Linked DNA regions of Ovis aries. The protein of the gene in region 3 interacts with the protein of the main gene of each other region in a pairwise test. Links are inferred from orthologs where the notes say so. Each region holds a gene or a part of one and is shown on either strand. Other genes may lie near its edges. The genes, in order: EFHC2, ATPAF2, SPG21, PRPS1, ARL6IP1, CTPS2 and AKIRIN2.

Evidence for each region.
Region 1: the proteins of SPG21 (region 3) and EFHC2 interact in binary tests that used the Homo sapiens proteins (3 or more experiments, as listed by UniProt). The two-hybrid records come from large-scale screens. The link is inferred for Ovis aries from reciprocal best matches to the Homo sapiens genes SPG21 and EFHC2.
Region 2: the proteins of SPG21 (region 3) and ATPAF2 interact in binary tests that used the Homo sapiens proteins (3 or more experiments, as listed by UniProt). The two-hybrid records come from large-scale screens. The link is inferred for Ovis aries from reciprocal best matches to the Homo sapiens genes SPG21 and ATPAF2.
Region 4: the proteins of SPG21 (region 3) and PRPS1 interact in binary tests that used the Homo sapiens proteins (3 or more experiments, as listed by UniProt). The two-hybrid records come from large-scale screens. The link is inferred for Ovis aries from reciprocal best matches to the Homo sapiens genes SPG21 and PRPS1.
Region 5: the proteins of SPG21 (region 3) and ARL6IP1 interact in binary tests that used the Homo sapiens proteins (3 or more experiments, as listed by UniProt). The two-hybrid records come from large-scale screens. The link is inferred for Ovis aries from reciprocal best matches to the Homo sapiens genes SPG21 and ARL6IP1.
Region 6: the proteins of SPG21 (region 3) and CTPS2 interact in binary tests that used the Homo sapiens proteins (3 or more experiments, as listed by UniProt). The two-hybrid records come from large-scale screens. The link is inferred for Ovis aries from reciprocal best matches to the Homo sapiens genes SPG21 and CTPS2.
Region 7: the proteins of SPG21 (region 3) and AKIRIN2 interact in binary tests that used the Homo sapiens proteins (3 or more experiments, as listed by UniProt). The two-hybrid records come from large-scale screens. The link is inferred for Ovis aries from reciprocal best matches to the Homo sapiens genes SPG21 and AKIRIN2.

Annotation. Positions count from the first base shown.
Region 1 is NC_056080.1:43,387,197-43,390,696, reverse strand, and holds part of EFHC2 (EF-hand domain-containing family member C2), read left to right. Parts: intron 1-58; coding exon 59-255; intron 256-3,500. UniProt on the Homo sapiens protein: Microtubule inner protein (MIP) part of the dynein-decorated doublet microtubules (DMTs) in cilia axoneme, which is required for motile cilia beating.
Region 2 is NC_056064.1:34,270,459-34,274,746, forward strand, and holds the start of ATPAF2 (ATP synthase mitochondrial F1 complex assembly factor 2), read left to right. Parts: upstream 1-1,488; 5' UTR 1,489-1,660; coding exon 1,661-1,793; intron 1,794-4,288. Other genes in the region: GID4 (glucose-induced degradation protein 4 homolog), read right to left, coding at 880-1,068. UniProt on the Homo sapiens protein: Plays a role in the assembly of the F1 component of the mitochondrial ATP synthase (ATPase).
Region 3 is NC_056060.1:11,894,484-11,897,983, forward strand, and holds part of SPG21 (maspardin), read right to left. Parts: intron 3,352-3,500; coding exon 3,190-3,351; intron 1-3,189. UniProt on the Homo sapiens protein: May play a role as a negative regulatory factor in CD4-dependent T-cell activation.
Region 4 is NC_056080.1:127,648,269-127,652,435, reverse strand, and holds the start of PRPS1 (ribose-phosphate pyrophosphokinase 1), read left to right. Parts: upstream 1-1,367; 5' UTR 1,368-1,510; coding exon 1,511-1,632; intron 1,633-4,167. UniProt on the Homo sapiens protein: Catalyzes the synthesis of phosphoribosylpyrophosphate (PRPP) that is essential for nucleotide synthesis.
Region 5 is NC_056077.1:16,929,073-16,933,296, reverse strand, and holds the start of ARL6IP1 (ADP-ribosylation factor-like protein 6-interacting protein 1), read left to right. Parts: upstream 1-1,424; coding exon 1,425-1,460; intron 1,461-3,111; coding exon 3,112-3,245; intron 3,246-3,699; coding exon 3,700-3,819; intron 3,820-4,224. UniProt on the Homo sapiens protein: Positively regulates SLC1A1/EAAC1-mediated glutamate transport by increasing its affinity for glutamate in a PKC activity-dependent manner.
Region 6 is NC_056080.1:14,941,640-14,945,847, reverse strand, and holds the start of CTPS2 (CTP synthase 2), read left to right. Parts: upstream 1-1,408; 5' UTR 1,409-1,551; intron 1,552-1,608; exon of another isoform or gene 1,609-1,699; intron 1,700-2,079; exon of another isoform or gene 2,080-2,419; intron 2,420-4,208. UniProt on the Homo sapiens protein: Catalyzes the ATP-dependent amination of UTP to CTP with either L-glutamine or ammonia as the source of nitrogen. Constitutes the rate-limiting enzyme in the synthesis of cytosine nucleotides.
Region 7 is NC_056061.1:49,618,153-49,622,430, forward strand, and holds the start of AKIRIN2 (akirin-2), read left to right. Parts: upstream 1-1,478; coding exon 1,479-1,713; intron 1,714-4,278. UniProt on the Homo sapiens protein: Molecular adapter that acts as a bridge between a variety of multiprotein complexes, and which is involved in embryonic development, immunity, myogenesis and brain development.

The DNA.
Region 1 (3,500 bases), on a different chromosome or scaffold from region 3:
TGTCTGGTTCTTTGAGAAACAAAACCTACTCATTAACTTCTTTTCTCCTTTTCTACAGGGTATACTGGAGGGATGTTCTTAAAAAGAGTTCGTGTTAAGAAGCCTGGACAAGAAGTCTTTAAAAGTGAATTCTCAGAATATATCAAGGCTGAGGAGCTGTATGTTGGAGCCAAAGTGGACGTGAATGGCTACCTCTTTCTTTTGGTCAATGCTGATGAGTATACCTTGAACTACATGGAGAGGCATTCAGATAAGGTGAACTCACTTGGTATAATTCTTGCCTTCGCCTCTCAGCACTCTGCAGTCTGTGTTTTCCTTACTCCAGGCCTTTTCTTCTTTGCCTTGCAACCAATTTTACATTGTGTATTCACACATGTGGGCATGAATAATGGATCTGCATGATTTGGCCGCAGGTCCCATCACAGAGGCCAGGGCCTGGTCTCCTCTGTTTATGTGCTGGGTTTGCTGCTGCCCAGCATCACGGATGCCAGGCACAGGCAGGAGGCAGGCCCAGGGTTGAATCAAGTTTCCTGGGTTTTCTGCTGATGCTGAAAATGTTTTCAGAAAGAAATTGAGCAGTGGTCTGAAAGGAAGAAAACCTGGTGCCACACACTGTGCTGTCTCAGTTAATTGGCACAGGCCTGCAAAGAAGGCCAAGACCTGAACAAACAGAAACCCCAAGGGAACCCGATAGTTGCTGGGGTTGCAACTTCCCATAACAGGGGCCACCTGAGGCCTAAATGAGACTCCAAGGACAAATTGGCAACAGTGAGCTCCACAAGTTTTTCCATTTGAAATGAGATGGCACATGGGTGCTATTACTGAAAGTACTATTATGACAATGCTGTTCACTGAAAATATGTTCACAAAACCTTGACTTTAAGTGTGGATGAGTTCCATGTCTCTGCTTTTCAGTATGCTATCTAGGTTGGTCATAACTTTCCTTCCAAGGAGAAAGTGTCTTTTAATTTCATGGCTGCAATCACCATCTGCAGTGATTTTGGAGCCCCCAAAAATAAAGTCTGACACTATTTCCACTGTTTCCCCATCTATTTCCCATGAAGTGATGGGACCAGATGCCATGATTTTCATTTTCTGAATGTTGAGCTTTAAGCCAACTTTTTCACTCTCCTCTTTCACTTGCATCAAGAGGCTTTTTAGTTCCTCTTCACTTTCTGTCATAAGGGTGATGTCATCTGCATATCTGAGGTTATAGATATTTCTCCCAGCAATCTTGATTCCAGCTTGTGCTTCTTCCAGTCCAGCATTTCTCATGATGTACTCTGCATAGAAGTTAAATAAGCAGGGTGACAATATACAGCCTTGACGTACTCCTTTTCCTATTTGGAACCAGTCTGTTGTTCTAATTGTTGCTTCCTGACCTGCATATAGGTTTCTCAAGAGGCAGGTCAGGTGGTCTGGTATTCCCATCTCTCTCAGAATTTTTCACAGTTTATTGTGATCCACACAGGCAAAGGCTTTGGCATAGTCAATAAAGCAGAAATAGATATTTTCTGGAATTCTCTTGCTTTTCCGATGATCCAGTAAATGTTGGCAATTTGATCTCTGGTTCCTCTGCCTTTTCTAAAACCAGCTTGAACATCTGGAAGTTCACGGTTCACGTATTGCTGAAGCCTGGCTTGGAGAATTTTGAGCATTACTTTACTAGCGTGTGAGATGAGTACAATTGTGCAGTAGTTTGAGCATTCTTTGGCATTGCCTTTCTTTGGGATTGGCAAACTGACCTTTTCCAGTCCTGTGGCCACTGCTGAGTTTTCTAAATTTGCTGGCATATTGAGTGCAGCACTTTCACAGCATCATCTTTCAGGATTTGAAATAGCTCCACTGAAATTCCATCACCTCCACTAGCTTTGCTCATAGTGATGCTTTCTAAGGCCCACTTGACTTCACATTCCAGGATGTCTGGCTCTAGGTCAGTGATCATACCATCATGATTATCTGGGTCATGAAGGTCTTTTTTGTACAGTTCTTCTGTGTATTCCTGCCACCTCTTCTTAATATCTTCTGCTTCTGTTAGGTCCCTACCATTTCTGTCCTTTTTTGAGCCCATCTTTGCATGAAATGTTCCCTTGGTGTCTGTAGAGATCTCTAGTCTTTTCCATTCTGTTGTTTTCCTCTGTTTCTTTGCATTGATCACTGAGGAAGGCTTTCTTATCTCTCCTTGCTATTCTTTGGAACTCTGCATTCAGATGCTTATATCTTTCCTTTTCTCCTTTGCTTTTCACTTCTCTTCTTTTCACAGGTATTTGTAAGGCCTCTCCAGACAGCCATTTTGCTTTTTTGCATTTCTTTTCCATGGGGATGGTCTTGATTCCTGTCTGCTGTACAATGTCACAAACCTCAGATAGCATACTGAAAAGATGAGACATTACTTTGCCAACAAAGGTCTGTCTAGTCAAGGCTATGGTTTTTTCAGTGGTCATGTATGGATGTGAGAGTTGGACTGTGAAGAAAGCTGAGCACCGAAGAATTGATGCTTTTGAACTGTGGTGTTGGAGAAGACTCTTGAGAGTCCCTTGGACTGCAAGGAGATCCAACCAGTCCATTCTAGAGGAGATCAGCCCTGGCTGTTCTTTGGAAGGAATGATGCTAAAGCTGAAAGTCCAGTACTTTGGCCACCTCGTGTGAAGAGTTGACTCATTGGAAAAGACTCTGATGCTGGGAGGGATTGAGGGCAGGAGGAAAAGGGGACGACCGAGGATGAGATAGCTGGATGGCATCACCGAATCGATGGACATGAGTTTAAGTGAACTCCGGGAGATAGTGATGGACAGGGAGGCCTTGTGTGCTGTGATTCATGGGGTCCCAAAGAGTTGGACATGACTGAGCAACTGAACTGAACTGAATTCCATGTGCCAGCATGTGTATTTCAGAACCATGGCCTACTATTGAAGAATCTATCTATAAACTATTTTCAATGTCTGCCTGTAAATAATAATACTTCTGTGCCAATTATATAGATTCAGTGCCAATTCCATTTCATTTCATGTCAAGTACTCATGGAGATGTTGCTAATATCAGTCTCTGTGTACAACATATTACCTGGATCAGTTTTGGTCCTCTGAGAAGCAGATCCTAAGGCAGAATGATATGTGCAAGAGATGTATTGAGGGAAATCTGTATGAAGGATAAAGGAGGGAGCAGGAATAGTGGGGAGACTGAGATGTAGGTCTGACTCCTGAGAATAGAGAGGGAAGGAGGGAGGATGGGGATGAGAAGAACCTCAGACACATTGGAGCCAGTCTCACAGGGAGCCCCAGAGCACACACTACGGACCAGAGAAATCCCATGTCAGGCAGTAATGGCCCAGCTCTGGTGCCTCCATCCTGCTCCATCACTGGATGGGAAGAATCTGGGGAGACTGTGGCCTCTGGGTGAATCTCTGAAAGCTGCAGCACTCCAGTGACCTGAAGGTGCAGCAGCAGGGGACTGTTTGCTAACAGGACTCCTCTCTGCGTGGTCTCTCTTGAGGGCAGGCC
Region 2 (4,288 bases), on a different chromosome or scaffold from region 3:
TCGACATGAGAGGAGTGAAGTGCAGGAAGGAGCTGGGACAGGTAAAGCTAAAGTTCCAAAGCCATTAGGAGCTGGCAGCAGGTTCTCAGAAATCCAGGTCAGATGGGGGGAGGAAATACCATATGAGAAATAAAAGTGGGTGAGTTACATTTCCTAGCATGAGTATCAGAGACTACAAAGGAAGCCCTGACATGTGGATCAAAGTTAAAAATACAGTAAGAGGGTCCCCTAGAGCCAGGAAGGAGGAGAACAGAGAGATGGGGAGGTCTGGGCAGACAGATGGACAGAACAGGAGTGGACTGGAAGTGGAAAGAGGGTGGGGAGTAGGGAGTGTCAAGAGTCTGAGCCAGGAAGAGACTATGGGTTGGGGGCTAGGAGATCAGCTTCTAACAGACTGTGAGGAGCCCACTTAGGATGTGAGTGCCCAGGCTAAGGAATGGGCCAGCAGTCCAGGTGGGATGGGGGCCCTCAGGTCCCGGGGCTGATGGAGAGAGGAGGCGGATGAAGCTCTGCCGGGGAGGAAACCCCCGGAGAAGGAGGCGGGTCCCAGGGCCTGGGGTTCATGGGACCGAGGAAAACGTGGGAGGCAGCAGGCACGTCTAGGGCCTGGGAGCGTCCAGAGTCAGAGGGAATCCCTGGAGAGTTTCCCGGACGGGGTCCGAGAGGGACTGAAAGAAAGACTGTTGCCGGGGCGACAGGCCACGGGGAGGCAGGGCCGGATCTGAGGCGGCCGGTCCCCGGCTCGGGCCCGCAGGGTTGGGGTGCGCCGGAGGGCCCCCGGCAGGCCCGGGCAGCAGGCCCGTCCGTGGCCGCGGGCCCCAGGGGGCGGCGGCGTGGCCCGGTCCGTGGACGTCTCGAGAGGCCGGGCCGCCGGCTCACCTGCAGCACTACCTCCACGTCGTACGAGTTCCCCTTGCTCTTCTGGTGGCCGCGGAACTTGGAGCCGCTGTAGAGCAGGCTGGTGGCCACGCCGGGCTGCTGCGTGTTGATAGGCGGCGGCGGGATGAGCGAGGCGGCGGAGGCGGCCGAGGCACCGGCCGGCGGGGGACACTCGGTGCGGACCGGCATCGCGGGGTCCCCCGGAGCCAGGGCTGGGGGAGGGGGAGGAACCGCCGCCGCCGCGCGGAAGCCGAGGGCAGACGGAGGAGAAGCCGGCGCGCGCGTAGGGCGGGAGGGGTCCACCCGCCGGCCGCAAGCAGATCGAGCGCTCCGGCCACCACCGGGACCCCGGGACCTGCGAGCAGGGCCTCCGGGTCCTGAGCGAACCCCCTCCCCGCCTGCGCTCGCACACACACCCCTTCCGATTGGCTCGGGCGCGCTGAGGGGCGGGATCAGGCTGGCTCGGCGATTCCGCCCATTGGCGGGCGGGGAAAGCACGTGGCGGGAGCCGAGGCCCTCTGGTACTTGTAGTCTTTTTCCCGAGGCGCGGCGCGGGGGCGGGGCCGGGGCGTTTGTGATGCTGATTGGCTGCGGCGTGCGCTGAGGCGCGCGGCGGCGGCGCGCTACGAGTGTCGTGCGCAACATGGCGGCGCCCCAAAAGGGAGAGGGTGCCGGCGACTGGTGAGGAGGTTTGTGGAGTTCGAGCACACGGCGTGTGGTCCCTCCGCTCCTTTTCCCCGAGCTCTGGTTTCGAGCGGTCGTTCTCTGAGGCCCCCGCGCGATGTGGAGGAGCTGCCTTCGGCTGCGGGATGGGGGGCGTCGCCTCCTGAACCGGCCCCGAAGTGGCCTCACCGCCTCCGAGGGGCTGGGGCGAAAGCCCCCTATCCCCTTCCGGGCCTACGTGCCCCCGGCAGGTGAGAGAGGCCAGGGCGGAGCAGGCTGAGGGGTCGGCCATGCAGGGTCACACGGTGGGAGGGAAGTTCCCCGCGAGGGCAGGGATCGCTCCAGGGCACACGCGCGTCGTTTCCTTTTGGCAGGTGCGGTTTTTCTCTCTTTCACTGGGGAAGCAGAGGTCATCCTTATTTTCAGGCGGGGAAATTCGACTTCTGGGTCGGGATTGCGCTAGAGGCGCGAAGCAGACTCAGAGGTTTGCGGGGCAAAGGCCAGTCTGCTAGGCTGCTTTCTGTGTCCCCGCGACCGGCACTGAAGGGGCCTGAAGCTCGGGCTTTAAGTCTTCCATCCCGGCCGCTTGCTCCACAGCTGTCCTGGCCCTGCCTCCTGCTGCCCTCCCAGAACACCTGCCACCTCTTCTAAGGAGTTGACACCCCGTGCCCCCTTCCTGCACTTCCGACTCGGATGAGGCTTTCTGTAGCGGATCTTTCTTACTCCTAGGCAAAGATTTTGGGATAAGAGTGGGACTGACTTTAAGTGAGTGAAGACAGTAACGCTTTCTTTCCTGCCAGTTAGTACTGTGCTGAAGGTGGGGGTGAGGAGAAGGTCACTGCGGTGTTGGAGCTGTTCCGAGGTCGCCCGTGTGGCCTCCAGTCCCCTACCAGCTGTCCCAGCCATCAGCTGCATAGAGAAGAAAGGTCTTCAGAGAGCCTGCCTGTCCAGCTGAGGAGTACACCGGTGAAGTCAAAGCTGGGGGTCTCTGCTTACAAGTTGTCTTGTCTGCACAAGTGGTTTAGCGTCTCATTGTCTGCCTCCTCTAAAGAGACAGCTTGTGCTGGATTGAGGGAGATGCTGTAGATAGGGAGGCCAGCCTGCCACCTGTTTTTGTAAATAGTTTTCCAGGAACCCAGGCCCGCTCATTCACTGACACACACCTAAGGCTGTTTTCACTACAGTGCAGAGTTGGCTGGTTGTGCCAGACACTGGATGGCCTGCAAAGCTTAAAACACTTTGGCTTTTTACAGAAAAAGTTTGCCAGCAGTGCTGTGGATGCTAGAGCGGTTTTGGGGAAAAGTGTTTAGTCATCTGGCCCGTTTATAGTAATTGCTGTGGTAGATACACTTGCCCTGAAGAATTTTAAAACAGCCTTACTGAGATGATGCATTTAGAATTCACTCACTTAGATTGTACAGTTTAATGGTCCCTAATGGCTCAGATGGTAAAGAATCCACCCTTGTTGCGGGAGACCTGGGTTCAATCCCTGGGTTGGGAAGATCCCCTGGAGGAAGGGCATGGCTACCCACTCCAGTATTCTTGCCTGGAGAATCCCTGTGGACAGAGGAGCCTGGCGGGTTACAGTCCATGGGGTTGCAGAGTCGGACATACTGAGCGACTAAGCACAGTATACTCAGAGTTCTGCTGCCATCAGTTCTGGAACCTTCTTATGACACCAAAGGATCCCTGTACCCATTAGCTGCCACTCTGAGTATCCCCCTGCCCCACCCCATCCCTCCAGCCCTAGACAACCACTACTTCACTCTCTATGAAGTCAAGTCGCTCAGCCGTGTCCGACTCTTTGCGACCCTGTGGACGGTCGCCTACCAGGCTCCTCCCTCCATGGGATTCTCCAGGCAAGAGTACTGGAGTGGGTTGCCATTTCCTTCTCCAGGGGGTCTTCCTGACCCAGGGATTGAACCGGGGTCTCCCGCATTGCAGGCAGATGCTTTAACCTGTGAGCCACCAGAGATCTGTATCTATAGATTTCCCTATTTTGGACATTTCATATAAATGGAATGTGGTCTTTTTCTCCATTTAGCGTATATCCAAGGTTCGTCCTGGCTTCCCTGGTGGCTCAGACGGTAAAGCATCTGCCTACAATGCAGGAGACCCTGGTTCGATCTCTGGGTCCGGAAGATCCTCTGGAGAAGGAAATGGCAACCCACTCCAGTACTCTTGCCTGGAAAATCCCATGGACGGAGGAGCCTGGTAGGCTACAGTCTACGGGGTTGCAAAGAGTCGGACACGACTGAGCACCTTCACTTTCACTTTCACAAGGTTTGTCCTAGAGTTAGCGCATGTCAGTACTTCATTCTTTTTCATAACTGGTAATATTCAGTTTTGGGGACACACCATGTCTTATTTACCCAGTCAGTCATTGATGAACATTTGGGTGGTTTTCATCATTTGACTGTTCTGAATGCCTTTGTAAACACTTGAATACAGGTTTTTGTGTGAGAATGTGTTTTCGTTTCTCATAGGAGGTACCTAAAAATAAATAGGACGTCCCCAGTGGCTCAGGGTTAAAGAATACACCTGCAAGGCAGGAGACCCGGCTTTGATTCGTGGGTCAGGAAGAGCCCTTGGAGAAGGGAATGGCAACCCACTCCAGTATTCTTGGCTAGAGAATTCCATGGACAGAAAAGCCTGGTGGACTGCAGTCCATAGGGTCACAAAGAGTTGGACACAACTAAAGCAATTTAGCACACACGCAAGAGCAGACTTGCTGGATCAAACGGTA
Region 3 (3,500 bases):
AATTAGAACATTCATTAGAATGTTCTAATGAAATCAGAATATCCTCTAACCATACACAAAAATAAACTCAAAATAGATTAAAGACCTAAATGAAGACTGGATAGCATAAAACTCTTCAAGGAAAACATAGGCAGAACACTCTTTGATATAAATTACAGCAATATCATTTTGGATCCACCACCTACAGTAACGAAAACAAAAATAAACAAATGGGACCTTAAAAGCTTTTGCAGAGCAAAGGAACAATAAACATAATGAAAAGACAACCCACAGAATGGAAAAAAATATTTGCAAACGAAACAACTGACAAGGGATTAATCTCCAAAATATACAAAACAGCTCATGCAGCTCAACAGCAAAAAAACAAAAATAAAAAAATGGACAGAAGATCTAAATAGACAGCTCTCCAAAGACATACAGAAGGCCCAAAAGCACATGGAAAGATTCTCAACACTGCTAATTATTAAAGAAATACAAATCAAAACTACCATGAGGTATAACCTCACATCAGTCAGAATGGCAATAATCAAAAAGTCTACAAACAGTAAATGCTGGAGAGGGTGTGGAGAGAAGGGAACCATCCTACACTATTGATGGGAATGTAAATTGGTAAAATCATTATAGAGAATCGTATGGAGGTTCCTTAAAAAACTAAAAATAGAACTACTATTTGAATCAGCAATCTCACTCCTAGGCATATATCTGGAGAAAATCATAATTCAAAAAGATACATGCACCCCAATGTTCAATGCAGCACTATTTACAATAGCCAAGACATGGAAGCAACCTAAATACCCATTAACAGAGGAACGGATAAAGAAGATGTGCTACATGTATACAATAAAATATTACTGAGCCATAAAAAAGAATGAAAGAATGCCATCTGCAGCATCATGGACCTAGAGACTGTCATAGTAAGTGAAGTAAGTCACGAAGAGAAAGATAAATATCGTACGACATTACTTATATGTGGAATTTCTTTAAATGATATAAATGAAGTTATTTACAAAACAGAAACAGACTCACAGACTTCAAAAACACACATCATTACCAAAGGGGAAAGGTTGGGGGAAGGACAAATTAGAAGTTTGGGATTAACATATATAGATATATAGTAGTGTTACTACATATAAAATAGATGTATTATAGCACAGGAAACTCTACTCAATGTTCTGCAATAACCTATATGGGAAAAGATTCTGAAAAAGAATGGATATATGTATATGTATAACTGAATCACTTTGCTGTACACCTGAAACTAAGACAACATTGTAAATCAACTGTACTCTAAAATAAAAATTTTAAATTAAAAAAAATTTGTGTTCTAGTTGTATACAACTTAATATACACACAAACAATTGAGTATGAGTAAAACTGGAAATGTGAACAAGGTTGGTGGATTATATTAACATCAATATTGGCTGTGATATTCTACTACAGTTTTATAAAATGTTACTATTGGGAAAAACTGGGCAAAGTATATAAGGGGTATCTCTCTATTACTTCTTACAACTGCATGGGAATCTAGAATTATTTCAATAAAAATGTAAATGAAAAAAGGATCCATGCATTTTTAACTGCAAGATACTAACAGATGTCTAGTAAAATTTCAGAAATCTCCTGGCACTTTGATCAAATATTAAGGATGAAGTGATTTTGAAGACATTGCTGTCTTTTTACTTGATTCTTTATCTAGCTAAGAAATAGGGAATGCCCACATCAGGAAGCTTGAGGGCAAGAAGAAATATCCAGGCAAAAGGCAAGGCTGTGTGCCCTGTCAGTTTATTTTTTTTTTTTTTTTTTTTTTATTTTTTATTTTTTAAATTTTAAAATCTTTAATTCTTACATGCATTCGGAAGAAAAAACATGCTGACTGCTTTGAAGAACGCTCAAAAGTGAGACAGACAGCTGGGGGGCTGCTCAGTCTCCCTCTCCCTGGCCAACCAACAGTGATCACCTAGACACAAAATGTCACCACTTCAGCTGCAAAGGACGAGGATGAGGGCGGCTACCAGCCTCCTCTCCTAAAATGCTGTCCACAGAGAGGGATTACTGAAAACCCAGAACAAGGGAGGATTACGTGGCAGGGCTTCCAACACACCATATGAGGAATGGTTAAAGAATCTGGAGAGATTTAGCTGGAGAAGACAAGACCTGGGGGGGAAAGTCAGCAGGCAGCCAAAAGTAACTAGTTTTTTCAAGAAAGAGCAGGGCTATCAGGAGGGAGAGGTGCTGCATTTGTCTTGTGTGACCCCAGTTGGTGGTAGCCCCAGTGGAATTTGCAGTTTCCTTCTGAGAGAAGAGCCTGGGTCCACGTTTTCTCTCCTCTAGGCAGTAAATAAAATGTATACCAACAGCAGTACTCCCATGGGGAGTACCATTTACGTGTTAATATTCTAGGTCCCAGAAAACAACCGCCAGCTCCAAAGCCAGGGCCTCTGCTTCGGGGAAGTTAGGAAACCGAAGTCCACAGTCCTGACCTAGTCAAGGCGTGCCAAACACTCTATGGTGAGCAACGGCGCCTTCCCACCTACGCCCTCCTCCCAGAGAGGGGGATTAAAGAATGATCAATGCAAAACTAGATTTAGACCAAACTCAGTGGTAACAATTAGAAACAAAAAACTTGTTGACCAAACGTGAAGAATATGAGCTAATGAATGAACCTCACCTCACCTGTCAAAGACTCACCTTTAGCAAGGTTTCAGTACCCTTTGCTGCTTCCAAGCAATGATGGCCTCACCTCACCTGTCAAAGACTCACCTTTAGCAAGGTTTCAGTACCCTTTGCTGCTTCCAAGCAATGATGGAATAAAAGGAGGGAGGAAATGGGGTCAGATTCACCCTCTGCTGCCTACTGGCTGTGTGACCCTCAGCCATCTCTAAAATGTCCAGACCTCAGCCTCCTCATCTATAAACAAGAACAATGCTTCCTACCAGTCAGACTGATTCAGGAAATGCATGTCCAAGCTGAGGGTAGGGAAAGCTTCGATAAAGGTTTGTCTCCTCTGCACCTCCGTTTGTTTTCAAACCACACCACCTTCCTTCAAAAAAACTCCCTTTCACATTTTAAAAATGAAAAACAGTATTTCACAATAAGAAACATGCCCATTACTATACTCAGAAACAGAAACACACACACAAAATCAGAAAATGTGGCCCTGCATTGTTATCCTAAATCAGTAATACTTACAGCTATAACCCGGTAACCCCATCCAGTCAAAGCCAAAATCTGCCGGAAAAATACATCCGCAGTTCCACTGACGGGAGGGAGAAATATGAGAGGACACCTGATATTTCTGGGGCCTGCATCGTAGAGCGACCAGATCTTACTATCATCATCATCCACAATAATCTGGAGGGAAAGTTATAAGAGGAAAATGAAAAATCTCATGGATTTGATTTTACATATCAATAGTTATTTCAACACCATAATTTCGCTGACAATTTTAATACCACTGTCTTGGTGGTTTACACACTAAGGTGGGGATCACACCAGACCAG
Region 4 (4,167 bases), on a different chromosome or scaffold from region 3:
GCAATGAAGCACTCAGTAAATATTTGATGAATGAATTGCGATGGAACACTACTAATATTCTGCCTGTAGTCTACTTCCTTCAAGTATTCCTAGACACCTGGGCTTATACTGAATTTCTGAACTCATAAAATCATAACAAAAGGTCAGAAGGAGCGGTCTCTGTGGGCACTGCTGAAAATGGCAGGAAGAGAAAGCTAGGGTGCTGCTTGAAATATTTTTTGCCTTTGCCACTTGGACAAATTTCTTTCCATCTCTGGTCTCCGTTTCAACCATATGTAAAATGAAGCTAGTAGACTAGATGATTTCTGAAGTCCCTTCTATTTTTACAGCTTGTAGTTATGAGCATTATGGCACTTCTAACTAAAATTGTATGATTCTAAAATTACATGATTTTTGTGTTCTAACTCATGGTTGGGATATGCTTAATGAAAATGTGGTGTGAGAATAAAGGCTCTTTTTGGTCTAATTAGCTGGTATCATCATAAAAGTAATAAAATAGTGGTGTAAAAGAACACATTAGCAACAGATAGAATATGATGCTGAGGATAACATCAGGCAGATAGGACCAAAGACTAGGTTTTCTGACTCCTTTGGGGCTATTTATCTGAAGTCCTATAAGTATACTGTACTTTCTTTCCTTTCCAAGGGTCAGATAAATCAGACCCTTTATCACCCAGATATTGTGGAAAATCCATACTCCAGCACCTGTTTGAACGTACTTGGTCCTAGTGTTAAAAACAAAATGTGACTTCTCTTGCAGTGTCTCTGGATGACTCAGGTAGCTTGCCCTCAGTCACTTTCCCCTTGGGACTTGTCTGTCAGGCAAAGGGGATAGTGAAATTACCGGTTTGCCCTTTGTATGAGCCTGTGCTATGGCGTCTGTCTGTGATGCAATCATGCTTTAAGTTCAGCCCCATCCTTACAAAAAGATAAAAATCATGTTCAGAAACATGCAAACTCATGTTTGTATGAACTGTGGCTGCCATCCTGAGAAATAGATATTTTTAAAAGAAACTGTAAAAAAGAAAAGAGAAAGGAACTGTAAACCAGAGCCAGGCTTACTTTCAGGTGCTGAAGGAAAAAAAAAAAAAAAGGTGGCTGATTTCCCGCTTGCGGGAAAGATCTGGCCCTACGCGTCACCAGCATCCCTCCACCCCCATTGGAACCCGGGCTTCTAGGCGTTCTGCCCTCCCCAACTGCCTCGCTACAGTGGGCGGGGCGATTCGTTAGCCTCGCCCCTTTCAGGGCCTCCAGTCAATCCTCGAGACAGTCGGGGATAGGCGGAACTACGGCGAGGACCCACTAGCGCTCAGCCAATCGGAGAGAGGGCTTCCCGGCTGACTACACCTACCCTGCGCCGGCGATTTAGAGCCGCGCACCGGGCGGGAATGTAAGATGGCGGAGTAGAAACGCGAGTGCTTAGTACTGAGTCTCTGGGCCCACTCGGTTCGGGTCTCGGCGGCGGCAGCAGTGATCGTTAAGCAAAGAGAGCCTAGGGTAGTTGGCCAAGATGCCGAACATCAAAATCTTCAGCGGCAGCTCCCACCAGGATCTATCCCAGAAGATTGCCGACCGCCTGGGCCTGGAACTGGGCAAGGTGGTGACTAAGAAATTCAGCAACCAGGAGACCTGGTGAGGATGAAGTTGGGACGCCGACCGGCCTCACCTGCCGGAGAGGCCAGGGCAGCCGAGGGTAGGGGGATGAGGTCACAGCGTGAGTTCCAAAGGGCCGGGTTTGGGGGGAAGGGGCAGCTCTGTGACGAGCGTGCCTCACGGGCTGTTTCCGTTATTTTACCTCTCGCGGGAGGGTCACGTTCATTCTCACTGTGTGGTGGGTGGAGTCAAGATGGAGCAGGAGGGGAAGCTACTGGGTTTGAAGCCAAGGGCGGGGATGGTGGCTTCCTAGAGTGGCTAGAGGGGAAGAACGCCTGGGCTTCGCGGTGGGGACACGTGGCTTTGCCGCTTAGCTGTTGAGCCATCCAGACTGGGTTCTCTTCCGCTGTTAGACCGGCTCGCCTGGGAGATCCTACTGCGTACTGAGCCCTCGTGGTGTTCCTCCTAGTGTCTGAGAAGCAGCTTTTCAATTTGAAACCGTGTTGGTCCGATTTCCTGTTGAGGGAACTTGACATTATGTGCAGAGGGCGCCAAAATTAATACCGAGGACTTCTTAGATTGGCGAGTGTTGAATTTTCACATCTTTAAACTCGAAGTTAAATCTAGTCGCTTGAATAAAATGATGCGTTAACTGCATCCCGATTGCCAGCATCTTGGTTTGAGCCATCTAAAAAATAATAGGGAACCTTAATTCTGGAATCCTTGATCTTCCCAAGCGTAGCTGTTTGTAAAACAGTGCAAAAGCATATTTTTCAGAACCAAAGTCTGTCCTGAACTTGCATTTCTAATGTTGTGTGGGGGATTTAAGAAACATTTTAATCCCTGAATGTTAAGATAATAGAAGAAAGATAATGGAGTGGAAGGCTGGAAATGCATAGTTCATTGCAGTGAATTTTTTGTCATTGCTTTGCTGATTAAATTTGCTCCCTCCCCCCCACTTCCATGCTCCTGAACCTTGGGGCCATCTTAGAGATAACTTGGTCACCAAATCCTTTCAGTACCACTTCCATCTAAATCTAGAATCTTCTGGTTCTGCTAAGTGTTTTTCTGTATTTTGTTGTTATCCTGTTGATCAAATCAGAGCAGTACCCACAGTCAGTCCTCTATTAAAGGGAAAATTTACACCAAACCTAATGAGTCAGTTAAATTAGTGAAGATTGCCTTGAACATTTTTTCCTAAGTGCTTTTGTTTTCCTTTTCTCTTCCCAAAGTGTAACTTCCCCTGTCCTTTGTAGACCCTGCTGGTAAAAGCATTCATCTGTAGTGGACAGCTTCCTTCTGGATGCTTGATCATTGTGTCATTGGTTGTGATGCAGATGATGGTGCAAGCCCTGATGCGGTCTGTAACCAGACAAAACCTTAGTCAGAAGGCTAGCCAAGCTGCTGTCTTTAGCTTAACCACACCATTATGACTCACGGGCTGTAATAAAATAGGACCAGACTTTGCAAGTGGCAGTATAGCTAGGGGACCAGAATGATTTTCATTTGGAGGTGGTTTTTTTTTGTTGTTGTTGTTGTTCCCTAGAGAACTGTGACTATTAAATCTTTTTTGTATGCTTCCAGGAAAAATACAAAGACTTTATTTTCCCTGTGCACCCTCTGCCTAGTGCACCACATCAGAACCTGAGGCTAAATTGGGAGAGGAGAGGAGAACATTTTAGTGGTCTACTGATTGATTTCTCTAAAATTATCTGGAGCCCCAATCTACTTCGCTGAGCTAAAAGGCTGATTTCATTTTTAAATAACCAGACAGTAACATGCTTGGAAGCACTGAATAAGATTAAGCCCAATGGAAAATTGCTGACTGGTTCGGTTGCTTTGTTTCTGGCTTAATTAGCTTTTTGGCTCCTTAGATGTTCTGAAATCTTCATTGAACATAATCGAATATGTTGCCTATGGAGCTTCCCCTTCATCTCCCTCCCCCAACCTTTGGCTTTTCTGCACTGCAGAAGTGGTCATTGCTGCCCTGACTCTGGGATCTAAAGGTCATGGACAGGATAGCACCTACCCACAGTGGGTGCTGGGGGTCATTAGATGGGGAACTGCAGAGCCCATCCTCAGATGAGACTGTTTTGCTGCAATTTGGCACAATCTCAGGGGTTGATGCTCTCTGGAGTAGTTTTCTCCTGAAGTCAGGATCATCCTTTGCTGTCCAGTTTTTTAAAATTCGTTAATTTTTGGTTGCACTGGGTCTTCCTTGCTGTGAGTGGGCTTTTTCTATTTGCAGCGAGTAGTAGTTGGCAGGGGAGTGGGGGGCGGGGCGCACTGCTCTTCATTGCTGTGAACAGACTTCTCATTACGGTGGCTTGTCTTGTTGTCAGAGAAGGGCTTCAGTAGTTGGGACACGTGGGCTCAGTAGTTGCAGCTCCCGGGCTCTAGAACATGGGCTCAGTAGTTGTGGCACATGGCCTTAGTTGCCTCGTGGTGTGTGGAATCTTCCCAGGAGGGATCAAACCCATGTCTCCTGCATTGGCAGGCAGATTCTTAACCACTGTGCCACCAGGGGGTTCCTGCTGTCCAGTTTTTAAGGAGAAACATACATACATATATGTG
Region 5 (4,224 bases), on a different chromosome or scaffold from region 3:
TTCCCTTACAAAGCCCCCTACCCTGCTCCGTCCCACGGGGTTTATACCTGATCAGATGCTTAATTTTTTTCAAAGTTCAATGGCAAATTTCATAACTTTTAATGATATTCACAATGCTTCTGTCCCCCTAGTTTTCTTAGGGGCAGCATGTGGTCTGTAGCTGTGTTGGCTCACATTTCTTTATGCCTTCCCTGAACTTTTTATGAACCTGGTAGTTATTTAAGGAACGTTTTTAAAATAAACGATGGCATAATATAGATGACTGCAAAAGGATAAAAGACTGGAAGTTGAAAGCTATGGCATGTTTTTCTGAAAGAGATATCTGAAAGGTCAACATTTGGCATTATTTTGTGTTGAGTAATGAAAACGTTAATGCATTTTGAAATCCTGGAGAGAAAATGTGTCTCACATTGATCATCTAGTTCTTAAATTGCAATGAATTCCACTCAAGATGGTTTACATCTTTCCTTATATGAAAGGATCTGTCAAAACCAGCCCCTTTTTGGAGGGGGAACATGCGGTTTCAAGTGAGGTGTTCTATTAAGAACTTTCCCAAAGAACCCACGAAAATGAACCAGTTTTATAAAGTGCATTTTTCACAAGCTCTCAAACTCTGCCCAGATGTCCACACCCCCTCTGCCGCCCCCCGCCCGTCCATCTAAGACCTTATTCCTAATGAGTAGGGGAGGAAAATTACAGAAAACCTAGAATTTATGCCCTTTTCCCTTGTCCACAAAGCTCATGAGATGGGCACGAGTCTCCAAGTCACAAATCTAGGCTAAACTGCTCAGCAGCCTGACGAGGGCTGCCAGAGCAGGGATTAGAAGAAATGTGGGTCCAACTCGGGGAACAGCCAGGCCCAGGGCCACCCGCTGGATCTGGGAGAAGATCCCAGCCCGCCCCCTTAAGGAGGTTACTGTCACATGCCCATCTCTGCCCTCCGCCTGATACTGCGTGGCATATTTCCTTAAGGACTCAATTCCAGAGAGCATGCTTAGCTGCTTTGAAGTCCACTGGAAGATCGTCCGAGAGCCACCTGGCGGCCCGCCTTAGGAATACTGAAGCCAGGCCAGGCCCCCGGGAGCGGCCGTTGAACCGCTTAGGAGAGGCCTGGGCGGGGCGTTGTCACCTACTGGGCGCTGATTGGCCATCCCATGGCCCCGCCCCCGGGGCACTGGCGAGGTTTCTCTCCTTTGACCTCGGTTTCAAGTCATGCGCTGGGCAGCGGTTGGTCCGACCTGTTCAAGCTTGATCTCGATTTGTCCAATGAGGAACGAGCTTCGCAGGGTCTGTCGGGAAAGGCAGCCGGCCTATATAAGAGGGCTGCGGGGCGTATCCTCGCGCTAGGGGTGCGGCGAGGGAGTCTGTGGAGGATTTGTTGTGGTTTCGTCCTGTGCTCGCTGAGACGGCACACCTCGAGAACTATGGCGGAAGGAGATAATCGCAGCACCAATCTGCTGGTGAGTCCCAGCGACTAGTCGCCAGAGGACCGAGTGGAGCCTCCGGACTTTGGTGTGCTCCGTGGGACTGAGCTGCGGCCTTGTTCTTATCACCCGCGGCGGGCCCGGCCCTCCGCTCCCTTCCCTGGTGTAGGCGATGACGCTTGCCCTTTTGGCTTCTTGGTTAACCTCTGCTTGACAGTGACTAGTCGTGGCGTCTCCTAACACCCCCTTGGGGAAGGTGCGCGATGGAGCGAGGAGGGCGCGTGATCATTCACTGCGAATAGAGGAGGAAGCTGGAGAAGGGGGCTGTGACCAGTCTGGGTTGCAGTCAGTGGCAGAGAGCCGCGAGGGGCCTGTCGAGCGCTTTTGGGGCCCAGACTCCAGCCGTATCTGTGTCTCCCCTTCCTTGATCTTAACCAGAATGTCCCTTCGCCCTTTACCCTAATGCTTGGGCAGGAGTGGAGGGTCAAAGGGCTCTTCCCGAGCGTTTCTGTTAGAGCCTGGCACGGCTTAAAACGGCAGGGAGGCTTCGAGCTCACGGCTGGAAAATGGAGGTGGGATCCAGCTGGAAGGACAATGGGAGGTTCCTGGCGTTTGTCTGGAACTTCTAAGACTGGGAGGGGGTGTCACAGGACGATTTTAGAGTAAGCAGGGGTCGAAGGGAACTGCAGTGAGCTTGTATCAAAGGCAGACAATTATAACCTCAGCCCGAATGGGGTGCCATTGCTGTCTCCGAAACTTAGCTTACATGCAACGAAAAAAACCAACCAAACAACAACAAAAAACAAAATCAACTTAAAGGTTTTTTGCCACATTAGCTCATCTGAGAAGTCTGCTTAGCTCATCTGAGAAGTCTGCTTGCAGCTGATTGTCAGATTTGCAGAGAAATTTGACATCTAACCAAAGCATCCTGATAAGTGTAAGGAGCATTTTATTGAGATATATTGGGCTTAATAAGTCTTATAATTCGAAGAAAGCACAGTAGTTTTCCTTACTTGTGCAAGTGATGCCAATATACAGATGATTCTAGTACACCAAGAGCTATTTTGGAAATGAATGCTGTTCAGGGAGAGGCTTTCCTCATGTATTCAGGAGTAGGGGGTTAAATCAATGAAATGACCAAAGAACAGATCGATTGTAACAACCTGAAATGAGCAAACTTCAAGTGATCTTATTTTATACTTGGAGCAGTGCCACTTAGCAGTGCATAGTGAAGTGAAGTCGCTCAGTCGTGTCCGACTGTTTGCGATCCCATGGACGGAGTAGCCTGCACCAAGCTACTGCATCCATGGGATTTTCTAGGCAAGAGTGCTGGAATGGGTTGCCATTTCCTTCTTCAGAGAATCTTCCCGACCCAGGGATCGAACCCAGGTCTCCCGCATTGTAGACAGATGATTAACCGTCTGAGCCACCAGGGAAGCCTACAGTTAGCAGTGCATGGTTTTGGGAAAATAACCATTCTGAACTCACTTTAATTGTAAATGGGTCTGATTATCCCTATCTTAAGGGGTCTTATAAGGATTATGTTACATAACCCCAGTGCTTGGGCTTGGAAAGTGACCGTTACATGATAATTTTCCCCCCATTGGTTTCTGACTTTGGTATCTCTAGGAGTCACAGAAATGTTGAGATTAGTAAAATGATTGCTTTAAACGTTGCTCATATGTAGGCTGCAGAGACTGCAAGTCTGGAAGAGCAGCTGCAAGGATGGGGAGAAGTGATGCTGATGGCAGATAAAATCCTCCGATGGGAAAGAGCCTGGTTTCCACCTGCCATTATGGGTGTGGTTTCTTTGGTGTTTCTGTAAGTGAGCTATTAAATTACAATAGATTTATGCTTGTTACTAATAATGGTTCAGGTTTCATTTATGGAAGTGCCTGAAGTCTTGTAATTTTAAAATCTGTAAAAAAATGCCTTGCCTTAGAGCCGCCTGCCTGGTTTTCAGAATCCATAGTACTATGTAAAGTCAGTAACCGGTGCAGTGAAATAAATCTGTGGTTCAAACTTAGGACTGTTTACACTCCTAGAAGGTGTTGAGGACCCCAAAGGGCTTTTGCCTCTTGATGTTTACGTTAACCGTTATGGCTGGGATGTCATCATGTCACAAAACTTCTGGAAAACCACTTGTGAGAAAATGAGAATAGGAAGGGCAGATAACATCTTTTGAGAACCAGAGGACTAACTGAATAAACGTCTTCAGCTAGCACTGATAAAGACCATATTTTTCTAACCTTTGTTACTTTTTTTTTTTAAACAGGACTATCTACTATCTAGATCCATCTGTTCTATCTGGTGTTTCCTGTTTTGTTATGTTTTTGTGCTTGGCTGACTACCTTGTTCCCATTCTAGCACCTAGAATTTTTGGCTCCAATAAATGGTAGGTGGCATAATGATGTGGCATTCAAATTTCTGAGAAGTTGCGAACCTGATAACTGTGACTAGGGTGCTATAATCACACACAGAGAGCTGCCTTAATTAACAGCTAGGGATTAGACTTACTGTTTGATGTAAAGAACTTTTTAGCTGATTCACATATAAATCGTGAATTTCCAGTACTTATATCTCCATAGTTCTTTTATACTCTAGCATTTATTTTGACTTTTTTCTTTCTAGACCTTTTTATTGAAGTGAGGCTTTTTTTGGTAATGATTTTTCAGTGATTGCAGAACTCATAATGAGCTTTCCATAGTATGTCTGCTTTACATTTTTTACCATTGATATTTAAGGTAATACTAATTTCATAAGTAACTTAGGAATAATTCAAAACAGTAAACATAGTTTT
Region 6 (4,208 bases), on a different chromosome or scaffold from region 3:
CATCGATGTGAACCTGTTTCACATGCATCCTTTGTGCTGGGTCTTCTGGAAGACTTGTTTTACAACAAAGTCCTCTGTGCTTCCTGCCTTTTTATAAGGTGTTTCCTCCTTAAAAAAAGAAAAAAAATTGAATTTTGCCAACCATCCCTCTACCTTCCTTGTTGCTGTTATCTACTAGCTTCCTCATTGCTCCTCCACGTTCACTGAAGATTTGGTTCCTTGGCCTCGATTGACTCCTCCAATTGTTGACATCCTTCTGGGGGTCCTCAATGTCCCCCACACTGGCCTGGTGAGCCCTAGGCCCAATTCCAGTGACACCCATCTCACTTGACGCCATGTCAGGGTCAGACTCTAAACTGGATCACCTCCTGGAATTTCTTCCCCTTTGACATCGCTGACACCCACAGTCTGGTGACAACTCCTCAGTCCTTTCATCCCCACAGGCCCTCATCTTTTGGTCTATCTCTCTTTTTCTTGGCCGTGCTGTGGTACATGTGGGATTTCAGTTCCCCAAACAGGAATCAACCCCCGCCCCTTGCATTGAAAACGCGGAGTGTTAACCACTGGACCACCGGGGGTCAACATCTCGCTTCTTAGTTCCAGTCTATCTGCTCCCTGCTCCTCTCCCTTCCTTTCTTCTGGGGACTAGGCCCCTGGTGTGTCACCGGGGTAACATTCTTTCAGTGCCCTTAACTTCCTCACTCTCATCCTTCCACTCAACCAGCAAACTCCGGTTTTATCACAATATCAGTATTTATATGTCGACCTAGGTGGAGCTCATTGTACAGTAATGGTTTCCAGACTCCACTGGGTCTTCAGTGATGCTCACCTCACTGGGCCCTCTAGTGACTCACCTGGCTGGCCAGTCAAAATTTTCACCAGTTTCCCAGCCCTTCCATCTCACTCCAAACCCCCTAGTTAGATCCTCTCTCCTTCAGTGGTTTGTGCATGTTCTTCCCTTCGCCTTAACCTCCTGTGTCCTTTCCTGGCACCGAGGCACCAACCATCTTCTTTAAAAAGTCACTCGGCGAAGCCCTGATTGTCGTCCCCCTACCCCCTAGAATTTTTAATTTTTTAATTTTAATGTTTGCTACACGCGTCCTGGCCAGGAACCTTACTGACTCCAATAGGGGTGTAGCCCTCTCCCCATAGCGTGAGCCCCTCACAGGGCCGCACTCCGTCTGAGCGTCGCCCTCCGTTTGGAGCTCCCGCAGCCCCTCTCCGCGACCCAGAAGCCCTTTCCGGCGTCGAGAGCCTGACGCGTGGGCCCGAGCAGGGTCTGGGCGTGCCGAGGGCCGGGGCGCTGGGACGTGGCGTTCACCCGCGGCCCCGAGGTGCCGGTGCTCCGCCAGCCGCGGAGGGGAGGGGCAGTCCCCGGGGCTGAGCCAGGCCTGGGGCCGAGTGCGTCCAGGGCAGAGGGTGACGGGAAGCCGCCGGCGCCAGAGGACTCACTTTGGGGCCGCTTGTTTCGGAGCGTGGCACAAACCCGGGTGCCAACCCCAAGCTCACCGGAGTGAGTCAGCGGGGCCCGCGGCGGCAGGAGAGGGGAAGGTGGGCTAGGAGGGCGCCGCGCACCCCGAGGTCCGCGCGGGAGGCGGGAGGGACCTTGAGGGAGGCTCGGGACACCCCTGGCGGCGGCCTCGTCTTCAGCCGACAGGTGAGCGCGGCCGTCCTCCGCGCCACCGCCGCCGGCTCACAGGTAATCCCCCGCCGGGGCCTCCGCGCCGGGGCCGCCCGCCTGCCCGCGCCCCGGGCCCGGCGCGCACGTGGGGCCGAGCGCCTTTGTCCCCTCCGGGGGCGGCCGCCGCGCGCGTCCCTGCACACCGCGCGCTCTGCCCGCGGGCCCACAGCGGCCGGGCGGGGCTGAGCCCTGGGAGCCCGCCCTGGGGCGGCCAGCGGCCCTGGCGCCGGAGCGCCGTGTCCCCAGGCGGCGCTTCCGCGCGCGTCTGGCCTCGGAATCGGGCGCCGGGGCCCGCCGCGTGCCCAGCCCTGTTTCTCCCGGGCCCGGGAGCCCCGAGATGGCGTTGGAGGAAGTGCAGCCCAGCGCCGAGGGAGTGGGCCTTTTTGTCCCGTCCTCCGCCCCGCGACTCTCTCATTTCCCGGTTCCTAGCTGGTTAGGGCGCGCTGAGCCCGAGTCCGCTGCTGCTACAACATAGCTTTCTTTCTGCAACAGTTTCTCCACATATGGTGTCTAATTTGCATTCAATAAAATGCCCCCATTTTAAGTGTGCAGATAAGGGATTTTGACAAATTATACATCCGCGTAACCACTACCCAAACGTAGACCTAGATCATTTCCATCACTCCAGAAAGTTCCCTCATGCTCTTCTCCGGTCAATCCACAACTGCCCTCACCCCTTGATTTTCATCAGAGCTTAGTGTTGCCGGTTCTAGAATTTCCATAAAGTGGGCTCATTAAGTAAGTATTCTTCTGTTTTTGACTGCTTTCTAAATGGCCGTCATCGAGAAGGTGTCTCTTGTTGCCTCTGATTTTTTTTCAGTTATTCTAGTCCTGCGTTGTCCAGTGTGGTAGCCACTCGCAGCATGTGACTCTTGAGAGCAGGAAATATGGCAAGTGTGTGAACTGAGATGTGCTTTGAGTAGACACACCTAGTTTCGAAAGACAGTAACAACAACAAAAAAAGGATGTAAATTATCTCACCAAAATATTCTTATATTGATTATGTGTTGAATGATAGTATTTTGGATAAATTGGGTTAAATAAGATATTATTTAAATGACGTTAATCTGTTTCTTTTTACTTTTTTAATATGGCGACTGGAAAATTTAAAACTACACAAATGTTATGGTTTTATTGGATAGCGGACAGCTCTACACACCCCTATTTTACAGACAGTTGGTTCTGCTCACTGCCTGTGAGTCAATGTAAATAATGTAATTCACAAGAGTAAAAAAGTCCTGATTCTAGAAACAGCGTGAAGAATCTGCTTTTTCTACTGTTTTAAATTTTGCTTCAGACTTACTTGTTTGCTTAAAAGAGATGGAAAGGACTAGGTGTCTCCTTGATATTAAGTTATATTTTCTATTTTTGAGTTACGTTTTCAAAAAGAACTTTGCAAAATATCTGATGTGCTTAAAAAGTTATCTTGTGCGTTTGAAAATGTGGAAAACTGATACATACTTACCTGCAACCCAACCACCTAAATATATTAAAATGTAGCATTTTAGTGTGACTTGAGCAGTCTTAATTTTAAAAAGCAGTTGAGATAATATAATGTCTTATATAATAGATAATATAATGCTTATAAGCATATTTTACATGAAAGATTCTTAGGCTTTCTGACAACCACATAATGTACCTTCTCATGAATACTCTTCTGTTTTTATGGCATTTTTCCATGTTGCTAACTTTTACAAATGAGAAGTCATTTTAATAGTGTGACAGTGCTGGAATAAGGTAGTTACAGTGCCGATTATTTGCCCCTTCATCCCACAGGAAAGGTGAAAACCAGGAGGGCAGGAACCTTGATTTTATATTCACCCCCATACACACAGGATCTGGGAACACATCAAGCATGTAATTCTCCTTGAGGAAGAAAATTTTCTTCTGTCCTTTTTTTTTTTAATATTTTATTTTATTTTTTTTTGGTTTTTTATTTTTTAAATTTTAAAATCTTTAATTCTTACATGCATTCCCAAACATGAACCCCCTCCCACCTCCCTCCCCACAACATCTCTCTGGGTCATCCCCATGCACCAGCCCCAAGCATGCTGCACCCTGCGTCAGACATAGACTGGCGATTCAATTCTTACATGATAGTATACATGTTAGAATGCCATTCTCCCAAATCATCCCACCCTCTCCCTCTCCCTCTGAGTCCAAAAGTCCGTTTTACACAGCTGTGTCTTTTTTCCTGTCTTGCATACAGGGTCGTCATTGCCATCTTTCTAAATTCCATATATATGTGTTAGTATGCTGTATTGGTGTTTTTCTTTCTGGCTTACTTCACTCTGTATAATTGGCTCCAGTTTCATCCATCTCATCAGAACTGATTCAAATGAATTCCTTTTAACGGCTGAGTAATACTCCATTGTGTATATGTACCACAGCTTTCTTATCCATTCATCTGCTGATGGACATCTAGGTTGTTTCCATGTCCTGGCTATTATAAACAGTGCTGCGATGAACATTGGGGTACATGTGTCTCTTTCCATTCTGGTTTCCTCGGTGTGTATGCCCAGAAGTG
Region 7 (4,278 bases), on a different chromosome or scaffold from region 3:
GCATTTTAGGTACCTGGTTAGAAGTATGGTGCGTCCCAAATTGGTGGCTCAGCCGGTAAAGCGTGAAAAACTATCCTTTGGCCTTTACATATGGAAGCTATCACCAGTCCAATACAAAACTAGTAGAACTTTCATAAAAAATTTTTTTCTCTGCTTACAAAATGGGTCTAATATCTACTCTCTAGACTTCCATTGTCTTTCGATTTAATTTTTACCGTTCACAAGATATACACCAATATTGAGATAGTACAACTTCTGCTATTAGCTTTTTATTCAAAGCAGAACAATTTAGTTCTGTACGTCGTTCAAATCCTAGTCATTTACAGGGTACAGCTGGCTTTGCCGAATAAGTGGCTAAAAGCAGCTATCTGGAAAGGGCAACACATAAAGTTCAATTCAAGGTTCCTATAACCTGATAGTACCACTGTTCTCTCCTGCAATTCTAAATAGGTCCCCAAAATCTTAGTATTTCCTAGCCAGTCGATGTGACAGGTTTTGTTTCTGGCACTGTTTTAATCAGTCTTGAACTGTTAGGTTAGCTTCGTTTTCAAGTTCCCGGTTGGTAAATCACTGTGGGAGCGTACCACGACAACTACTACCTGAATATTAAAGGTTTTTCAAAACCTGCTTTCCCCACCGGTCGGCTTTCTTTTCTCCCACTCTCTAACGGGTTTTTCTCTTTTCTCTTACCCTCAGTTCCTTTTACACTCAAGATGTGTAGGGGGATTTAAATTCCAATCCGGAACTCGGAATCGCTGGCCTTGAATGACGGGACTCGTAGTTTTCATGACTTCTCCTTAACCGCTTTTCACGCAGAGTCCTTCCTCCAGTGATAAACTACAACTCCCAGAATGTATGCTCGGGCTCCCGCCCCCCGCTATGCGCACGCGCCCTGAGGCCGCAGGATTTGAATCGGCGGCGTTGTTATTGACGCCATATTGGGGCCGGCGGCGGGTGGAAGTCAGACAGTGGAGGGGGAAGCGGCTGGATGTGTTTGCTGGAGCTCCTGCCGCTGCCGCAGCCTCTCAATCTCGCCGCATCGACCACCGCTCTCTAACTTCGGCCGCTGTTCGAGCGTCTTAGGAGCCGCGTTCTAGCCTCACATCTCACGGGGCTGGTATTGACTTCTGAAGGAGCCGGTCTCCGCGCAGGAGCGCCTCAGGCGCGGCGCAAAGCCCGAACGGACGGCGGGGGCGGCCGGAGCGTCTCCCGGGGGAGCCGTGCCTGAGGAGGCGGAAGAGCCCCCCTGACGCGGCCAGCGTGAGCCGCCGCCACCGCCCCTCCTGCTCTCGCCCCAGCCGGCCCGGGCCACTGCCCCTGCCGCGGAGGCGGCGGCAGCGGCTCTGCTCCCCTCGCCGGCGCTCCGCCACCCGGCTTTCCACTCTTGAGCCCGTCGGTTAGGCTCTCTTCGGGGCTCCGCTTTTACCCGCTTCCTTCGCCCTCCCTTCCTGACTCCACCCGAGCCCGGCGCCCCGGCCATGGCGTGCGGAGCCACTCTGAAACGGACTCTGGATTTCGACCCGCTGCTGAGCCCGGCGTCCCCGAAGCGGAGGCGATGTGCGCCATTGTCGGCGCCCACCTCTGCCGCCGCCACCCCGTCGTCGGCCGCCGCGGCCACCGCCGCTTCCTTCTCGGCCGCCGCCGCCTCGCCGCAGAAGTATCTCCGAATGGAGCCATCTCCCTTCGGCGACGTCTCCTCCCGTCTCACCACAGGTGGGACTCGGTCTTGCGGCCGCCCGGGGGTGGAGGGCGAGGGATGAGGCCGCGGGACTAGGGGTGCAGGACGGCTCTCCGGTCTTAGCAGAGTCCTCGGCGGCCACATTTTTCTTAAGGAGCTCTTTCAGTGTCGGAGACACAATAGGAATAGCCTGATATCGGGGGAGGGGTCGGGGGTGGGGTGGGTAGGGATGGTGCCTTGCCGGGTATTGTAGGGTAGAGGAAGGTCTTTTTCTTTGGGCCGAATGACTGGAATCGAGCGTTTCCGTAGTCTGGAGAGCCCCAGCGGAAATGATCAGAGAGAGTGCTACACGGAAATCGAGGCAAACGAAGGGTCACACATTTCACCCGAATCTCGATGGCTGTCTCCCAGAATCGATGGGTTGCACCTATTAACTCTGGAACTGGGTGGTTTGAGGCTAGGCGGCCGCCCCTCTTCCAGTTCAGACAGGGCTGATTTTAGTACGGAGGGCGTGGGGTGGGGGAGGGATGTCACTGGGGCGAGATCTAGGCCTGTCATTAATCACCCACAAGAACGCCACTTTGGCTGAGTCAAGACCTGTTTCCCTAGCAGGGTCAACAACAAAGAAAATGCTCTTCCCGAATACTGTAATACGATCACACTATATATGTCTAGACCTTGAGAAACTTGAACTTTTAATGAAAAGCAAGTTGTATTGAACTTCGGGGCTGAGTAGTTGCTTTAGTTAAAAGTGCTTTATTTTTGCCCATGAAAGTACTTTGGAAGGAAAGGGCTAGGCCTTGAAAATAATAAATCAACCCAAGATTCCAAGGGACTTCAGAATATTTTTGCTGTTCATCTTGAAACATTTCCTGAAAGTGACTGGGCAGCTACCTCTTGACTGCTTTGTACTGCGTTTGTGTCCGTTTTTTCCTATACTTTGAAAATCCTTGTGTGCCCCTGGCATAGTCTTAAGATAGGCTTATGTGGACTAGTAGTGTAAATGCTTCCCTTGTGTGTGTAGCATGCAAAGGTTTCATGTGTGACCGTTTGGTGATAATAAGATCTGTAGACAAAGCCTTTTCGTAGCTTGATTTACTTTTTTATCGTCAGCTTTAAAAAGAAAATCTGTGGGCAGTATTTAACTCTACTGGTAACTTGATTTGGAATTGACATAAGTTTTGTAATTTTTCAGGTCATACTTTTAAAATATCTTTTTCCAAATACATAGGGAGATTCTCAGATGCCTAGGCTACCATCTTTTGCTGTTGGAACAGTGTCAAGAATGAGTTCCTGGGATTAATACTATTTTCAGAGTTTGTCTTTTTAGTGAAAGACTATCACTGAAAATTGAAATGATACTGTGGAATCTGTACTTAATAAGGCCACTTAAAAATAGCTCTAGCTAACCAGCAATAAATTTCATTTGAGGGGGGTGAATTAATACAGTGTTAGGTTTGGGAGTTAAAGTATATTGAAGTGCTAAAATAGTCTTGAGCATATAAAGTAAGTCAGCTAGGGGCTATATTTGTCCTCACTTCAAAGGGAATTAATTCAGAAAGAATTGTGATTCTTTGCAGATCTGTCATTTCGTTGATGTATTTAAAGCATTCACTAATGCAGGTGACTCCACATTTTATATTTCGGTTAAGTGGACCATTACTATTATAATAGTAAAATGACTGGAATTATTGAAATTGTTTAAGCCGGCTGATTCAAATTCACATTTTTCCAACATATTGGTATGTTTTCTGTTTTTCAAGGTGTTTTTGGCATCTGCTGTAACTTTGATCATATCCTGAATTCTAAAGTCACACACTAACTGATATTTATTGAGTCTCTGAAAAGTTTTTTTTCCCTAGCTATTTCAATTAGAGAACAGCAGTTAAAATTGATTAACTTTTGAGTTGCTAAAATTTACCTTTTTAACTGTGGTCTTGGAATGACATTTTACATGTAATTTAGCCTTATGTTAACACGGCCAGTTTTGGGCTTGCTCTTGTATGGTTTTGGTAATGGTGTCATAATGGGAGCTGCAGTGTTGTGCAGGTATCAAACAGCTTCCCAGTTTTCATGTCCTCTAACTTGGAAATAATTTTCCAAGTACCTAACTTTTAAATTCCTGTTTTAAAAGTGGTGATTCTTTAAACTTGTCTAGAATGAATACCATATATCTTTAGCAGAAATAAGTAGCTAGGGTTGGAAATGGAAAGCAACTTACCAAAATGAAATTGACTGGGGCTCTATGGAAGTTCTTTATGGAGTTTTCATTTCTGTGGGTTCAAATATAATTTAAACAATTTACAACTAGACTACTGAAGTGCAGTTTTTTTCAGAGCATGTGTATAATTTATTATGAATTTACTTTTGTTCTCTGGATATATTTATATATGTGTTTTCTGATATGTTGCTGAAGTCATGTTGTCACTTCAGGAACTGGGTATCTTTTAAACTCTAGCTTTGTTTCTTTTGGTTGTTAGTCATCTCAGGAAGGTTTGACTTGATAACTGTTATTTAAATCAATATTTTTCAAACTATTGTGACTTAATAGGACAAAGAAAAGAACTGGCAATTAAAGTTTTATTGGAACACAGCCATGT